Linked DNA regions of Caenorhabditis elegans. The protein of the gene in region 2 purifies or fractionates together with the protein of the main gene of each other region. This does not show direct contact. Each region holds a gene or a part of one and is shown on either strand. Other genes may lie near its edges.

Region 1 (3,975 bases), on a different chromosome or scaffold from region 2:
GCCACTGGCTCTTGAAAAACTACCATAGGAGCCGCTACGTGCACTTTCCATGAAGCTTGCATCGGATTACGACCATCAAATTTATGTGGAAGTAAAATTGTATGTGCATATAGGTAGCCATCTTTAGCAACCGAAGACGGAATCTTCACTTGAAGCTGAAAATAAAATATAAAATGAGGTTATTCTATATTTTAGAAAATTACATCTTTCTGGAAGGCATCGGCAACTTGCAAGTTTTCAACAGTCGTGATAAGTGTCTCCAATGCATCTCTTTTCGTTGAAAAATAGACTCGAAGCTGTAGTAAATCGTACAATCCTTCGTGGTTGGGTTGAACAATTGGCTATAAAATGTTATTATAGTTTTGCCTCAATCGAAAAATTTACCGAATAGCACAATTCGTCAGAATCCTGATCTGTACATAACTCCGGAGTGAAAAGCTTATAAAGTTGAAAAAAGTTGTAGAACATGAAACTGAGGAACAGTGTGCTCACAATTTTTGTCAGGTTTATCTCCATCTGGAAAAATCACTTTTTGAAAGAATTTTTGAGAGATTCATCCAAATATTAATATCCGGTGAAAACGGAATTTCATGATACTTTCATTAAATACAAATCGGAGAATTTCAAAATTTATTCAATGAGTATCTAAGAAAAGTTCACCAGAAAAAGTAAGAGAAAATGAATATACTACAAGTAAATTGAGGTATACAACCAAAGTGATGAAATATTTAGAGGGAGATATGAGGAGATCAGAAACGCGTTAAAGAAAATGGTAAAATAAAAATGAATGGTGATATTGAAAAATGTAAGTATTTCGTTATAATTCAAAAAGTTAGAATATTGCTCATATGTCTTTCCTTGAAGTACACATTTCTTTTTGGTACAACTTCTGTTTCATTTTTCGGAACCATCCATGAAGTCATTCTTTTGCTTTGTGATTTCCCTTCTTCCTCGTCATCTTCCCAACTGCCTGGAACACATCTCTTCTCAACGATAGTACTGGCTGTTTTCCAGGATGATCGAACGAGTGAGCAGAAGCCGAAAACTGGTTCCACACTTAATTGAAGGAACTTCTTTGTGTTTGGATCTGAAAGAAAAATAATAAAATATACTATTCATAAAATAAAAAGACCTCCAGGATATCCACTTCCATATCCAGCATCTGGAACTTTAATATTTTTCTCTCTAAATTGCCAATTTCTCAAACGCGAGTCTCTCGTGACTTTGGCGGCAATGGAAGCTGCACTGACGATAGGAAAAAGTGAATCAGCTTTTTCAGTCACGCAAATTGAAATTCCGGGAAATAATTTCTCGAGTTTGGCTTGATAAGTTGCTTTCGGGCCAACTGTGTCCACTTTGATCTGAAAAATAGTATACCTTATATTTAGCTTGTATATATTTTCAGGAAACCTCCACTACATTCACATTGCAAGCTAGCGCATCTCGAATCAAAGTGATCGCAGCTTCATGGGATACTTCATTCAACGAATACTTTTGTCTTTTGAGCATTGAGCAACTGATCAATTCAGGGGAAAGACATCTGAGAGCATATGCTATGATCTGTTGGATGTCTTCGTCTTCATTCATCTTGTTGAAGATTTCTTCACGTTTCGCCTCGTTCAACGCTTTTGAATCGTCGACACCAAGATTTTTCAACTCTACATTTTGATCAAGTGGGGAAATCGCTGCTGCGTAGACCATAGGACCGAGCACTGGACCTAAAATTTGGATATATTAGATTACTGAATTATCAATTATTGACTATTATTTTCCACAAACCTCTTCCAGCTTCATCAATGCCCAAAACGCACGGAATACCATTCCCGAAATTGTTCCACGTTTTGCTTCGTTCAGTTTCACACTTCAGTGACATTCTCTGAGAGAACAAATATTGTAAAAAAAATAAATATCTATTCATATAATACATTTTGAAGGTTAATTCAAGAAAAAAAGACATTGAAGTGAATAATGACATAAAATAAATAAAAATCGTGGAAATAAAATTCAAATTGTGATGCGGCCGAGCTTTTTCTTTATGGTATGCAGATACGCTCTATTGACAATAACTAGGAAAATTCGGTCGCGAACAACACTTGGACAATATTACTGTACCCCACATATTTATATGCACAGAAAAACTTTCAAACGTATAATTAGCTATCACTAGCACTTTATGACGTCGTTCGAATGATTTTGAAAAATCAGAAATTAAAAAGCAAATACAACAAATAAGCTGATGGATAAAATAAACGTTTTAATAGGTTATGAAAGTATACATTACAATAAATACGATTTTCTAGTGTGTACCGGTTCCTCAAGGATTCCGCACCTCAATAAAATATTTGACAGTTTTAGATCTTAATTTGCTATGAGTATTATCAAATACGAATTTATATACTCCAGGCTCCGCAGCACACACTTCTCCATCTTCCGGAACGAAGTCTGTTTGAAGTTTGAATTTTGGATGCACCATGTAGTCATCGTCATGCTCTGCAACTTTCTCTTCACCTTCTGCTGCTCGAAGAATCGAGAAATTGATATCGTTATTCTCCAGCCTCCACCACCAATAAAGTTTTCTTCCTGGTACATTTCCTTCGAGAGTAATGGGAACAAATGTTGTCGAACGAGCAGAAACGTTGAGTTTGGTAAGCTTCTCAGCTGGAAGATCGTTGGCCGGGTCATACCTAAAAAACAGGATTATTTTTCAAATAAATTTTCCTCTGCAAAATTACTTCAATTCAGCAGGAATCTTGCCACCCATTCGAACATTTCCATATTCAGTTTCAGCCTTTCTAGTTCCACCCCATCTTTCAAATAGCACTTCTTCTCCAATATTCTCCTTCAAATGTTGTTTCCAATCGTTTCCCAAAATCTTGACTTTCTGTTGAGTTTGCTTGGCAAGACATGGCGAGATCATACTCCAGAGTACTTGAATAAATGTTGGTGTATTAACAATAAATATCTTACGAATTACATCAGGAAACATCTCCTGAAATTAAACAATTCAATTTTTAATACGACTAATCTGGAAAATGTACCTGAAGCTGCGAGAGCATGGTAGTCACAACCTTCAAAGCAGCCAAATCAATTTGAACCATTGAAAGTCCGTCAAGATCGAAAATGACAGATGTTCCCAATGGTTTTCCTTGCTCTTTTTCCATTTTTCTGAAAGTATAAGTTCTAATTTTTCATTATTATTACAGTAGTCTACATCTTATTTCGCAACTAATGTTTCTTAATCTCTGGACAAAATATAATTTTCGGGTATTCGATATCAGTGTTCTATTTTTCAATTTTTCTCTTCCGCTATCATATAAGTCACAGAGTAAACAGTATTCCAATCACTTTTGCCACACAGACTAGAGTGACGTTATCTTGAACTACGCATACCTGATAATTTGCATGACTCCTTCACTTTCAGCAATTCTCATTCTGTATAAATCCGAATTTCTTGTGGCTGGCATGAGACCGGCTGCGTCAAGATGTCCAATCATTTGAAGAGAGACCACATTATTCTCATGATCCAATCCGATTAAAGATCCAGGAAGGTATCGAAGTGGAACACTACAATCATCACATTTTTGTGCCACTTTTTCCAGTGTTGAGAGATCTTCTTGGTCAAGTCCAAGTGCATGAATGGCACGAAGTGAGAACTTGATTTTTGGAACCACAACATCTGAAAATATATCTATTTCATTTTACAATTTTTTCGAAATATTTCAAAACCATCATAAAATTCATAAAAAAAACATTTACAGTTTAAACAATATTCCAAAAAGTCTTACCAATTTTTCGATCCCATCCGATTAACCATCTCATAAGTGAAAAATCATCATCATATTCTTTCACTAATTCTAATTCTTTATGAATCCTTTTTCTGAGTTCATCGAGAAGCTTACGATCACTTTCAGTAATTTCTCCAGTACTTGTAGACATCCTTTCACCTGACAATCGTTTTTTGGTCAATTTCATTTT
Region 2 (3,079 bases):
TTTGCTTTTATTTCTTTCAAAAACCATGAAATTTCCAGCTTTTCCAACTGAACTTCCGATCTTCGACCTGAACTGCAAACGCTAGAAATTGCAAAAACCCCCTAAAAAAGTATGCAAAAAACGAATGGTTTAGCACCCCGCGGGTGCAATAAACGTTCCAGTATAAAAGATTCCCAGTTTTTGTCCGAAAATCCATCATCCACCACTTCCTCAACATGTTCCGTCGTGTCTTCGTCCTCATCGCTGTAAGTTTCAATTTCTTCAGGATTTGTGTAAACCTAGAACATTCCAGATCCTTCTCCAAATCTTCATCGCCTCTGCCGATCACGTTACCATCAAGGCTCCAGTTGCCACGTGCAAGGTTGATAAGGACTGATTATTCTTTGTTTGAATAAATGAGAGCATTCGAAACTTTTTTAAAAAATCTGAATGAGGACTCTAAAGCAGACAAATCTGACCACGTGGCTGCAAATATTCGAGAATCGATTGAAAATCCCACTACTAGGAATCCGTACTAGAGCCTTTTCGAAGGAGAAATACTGTTTTCAAGGGAAAAACGACAGAAAATTCGAGTGAAAGCAACCTCTGAAACAGCTTCTGTTCTCCCCCAACCTCGAAAATCAAAACCTTTTTTATTAAAGGTAACAACAATTTTATTGAATCAACAATACTTATTCCTCGCTGTCAACGTTGACGTTGGTGAGTCCGTGGAAGTTGGTGCATGGAACGTAGGTGCAGAGGGTGTAGAGCTTTTGAGCGGAGTCCTCATCCTCGTTACGGCGGCGGGAGAGACGGACACGAACTCTGTATGGAACGTTCTTGATTCCCTTGGACCAGATGAACTTGTTGAGCTTGGTGTCGACACGCACATCGTTGGTCTTCATCTGGATCTTGGCGAACTTCTTGATCTCGTCGATGGCACGTGGAGCACGCTTCTTGGATCCGCTGAAAACGCATTATTGGATAAGAACTTCGCAAAATCATCATTTTTACCTCTGATTTCCCGCTATATTTCAACCGAATTTGAGGATGCCCCTGAGATCTCCGTCCGATTCTCGAATGAGAAACGAACGGCGTTTCTGGAGAGAGCCACTCACCAGAAAACGAGGCGGGTAAGCTCCGTTAGTCCGGCCACCGCGGTTCGGGCTAGAACCTGCTCATTAAAGAGCTGCGATGACAGGCGTGGGCCAACACACCGCTTCCAGGTGGAGCACGTGTTAGCATGTGAGCAGGAAATTTGAGCGAAAGATGGAAAATAGTGTAAACTTACATTCCTCTGATGCGGGCGTGGATGTGAATGGTGTATTCACGGGTGACGACCTCGTTGATGGTGCTGCGGGACTTCTTCTCGTTCTTTGGAGCCATCGCGACTTGACTGGATTACCTGAAAAATCTTAATTTTAAAATTAAACTAGAAACTGAGAACACAAGAATTATAAGGAAAAATGCATAAAAATCATAGTAGGAGCTTTATTTCAGAGAGAAAACATGATAATTATACGATTTACACATTGAAAAAATATTTTTTAAATGAAAAAAAATAAAAATTTACGAAAAAATCACAAATTTCCATTGGAAAAGCGTAAAAATTTTTAGGATAAAAATGGAAAACTCCATTGCAATTCCCTAATCGTGGCGAGACCCATCGAGATAAATCCATGCGCCTTTAAGAAAGTTCAACGGAGCATACTTGCATTATTTTTCTTTTGTGTTTATTTTCGCCGAGATGACTCACAAAACGGGACGATTTGTACAAACAAAGACCAAATTTTTTATTTCCAAATGCTAAATTGCTGATTTCCGAAATCGGCGTGTTAGAATTACAAAGTAAATAGTGGAAAATTGCCGGAAAACTACTGGAAAAGTGAGTTACAACTTCTTCTTGACTTCAAAAAAAAATCGCTTTGTTTTCAGATGATAATTTACACAACACCAACAGCTTTAATACTCGAAGAACAAGGAGAACGTGTGGAATTTGATCGCAGAAATGGGAAAGTACTGGAAAAACCGGAAGAATCGCTGGAAATCCTCGATCAAGATGTGGTTTTGTGCGGAAACGTCGAGTTTTTGATCGGAAAAATATCGTTTGACGAGCAGCATTTTCTGTTTTTCGTCGTCGATAGTTCGGTGGTAGCGTGTTATAGAGGAACGTCAGCCGAGAGCTCCCATTCAATCCGGAGAATCGAGCGGGTTATCGCGATAAATGTGAAATCCGATGGCTCCGTGATAAAATCTCAAATCACCCCGGGCTCCGGCACTAAATTAAAGCAAGGAACCGAGAAAATAATGAAGTTTTTCGCGGAAAAAGTGACAAAAGCCGAGCCCCGTCCGGCTTTACTGGATGATGTGCTCAAGCTGTTCAATGATTCGAAGGATTTCTACTTTTGTCGAAGCCGTGACGTCACAATATCCTCACAAAAGTATTTCGAGAAGCGTGAGGCTCATACGTCGGAGGATTCGTTTTTTTGGAATAAGAGGATGGTGGGAAACCTGGGAGAAGCCAAAATTTCCGATAAATTCACATGCCCAATTATGCAAGGATATGTGGCCACAAGTCAGCTGGAAATTACGGATCAGGTATTAAAAAATCCCACAAATTAATTAAATAATTAGATTATTGAATAAATTTCCAGATAAACGCCTATCTGACAATCACAATAATTTCCCGACGATCTACCCGCCGCGCGGGAGCCCGCTACCTACGACGTGGCATCGACGAGGCTTCCAACGTGGCAAACTTCGTGGAAACTGAGCTCATTTTGAACATTTTCGAGCATGAGCTCAGTTTTGTGCAGTGCCGCGGCTCGATTCCCGTATTCTGGTCTCAGCGTGGCTTCAAGTATCGCCCACCGCTAATTATCAATAGATCTGTGGAGGAGACGCATGGCGTGTTCACGGAGCATTTTAAACGGCTTAAAGCCCACTACGACACTCCTCTTGTGGCGGTAAGCCTCGTGGATCAACGTGGCAGAGAGCTTCCGCTGGCTCAGAGGTTTCTGGAGCATTGTGTGAAGGCCGATGATAATGACGTCACGTTTTTCTCGTTTGATTTGCATCAGCATTGTAGAGGGCTTAATTT

Evidence for each region. Proteins that work in one complex are often made in the same cells at the same time.
Region 1: the proteins of rpl-31 (region 2) and rnh-2 fractionate together in Caenorhabditis elegans (co-fractionation; one large-scale study listed by BioGRID). This does not show direct contact.

Annotation. Positions count from the first base shown.
Region 1 is NC_003280.10:8,515,051-8,519,025, reverse strand, and holds rnh-2 (Ribonuclease H2 subunit A), read right to left. Parts: upstream 1,877-3,975; 5' UTR 1,874-1,876; coding exon 1,780-1,873; intron 1,719-1,779; coding exon 1,411-1,718; intron 1,362-1,410; coding exon 1,133-1,361; intron 1,088-1,132; coding exon 825-1,087; 3' UTR 619-824; downstream 1-618. Other genes in the region: T13H5.8 (Lipid scramblase CLPTM1L), read right to left, coding at 1-155, 204-341, 385-516; ctg-2 (CRAL-TRIO domain-containing protein), read right to left, coding at 2,315-2,684, 2,733-2,989, 3,039-3,165, 3,391-3,676, 3,786-3,972. UniProt on the Caenorhabditis elegans protein: Catalytic subunit of RNase HII, an endonuclease that specifically degrades the RNA of RNA:DNA hybrids. Participates in DNA replication, possibly by mediating the removal of lagging-strand Okazaki fragment RNA primers during DNA replication.
Region 2 is NC_003279.8:13,652,321-13,655,399, forward strand, and holds rpl-31 (Large ribosomal subunit protein eL31), read right to left. Parts: upstream 1,385-3,079; 5' UTR 1,366-1,384; coding exon 1,271-1,365; intron 946-1,270; coding exon 672-945; 3' UTR 629-671; downstream 1-628. Other genes in the region: sac-2 (SAC domain-containing protein), read left to right, coding at 1,915-2,577, 2,634-3,079.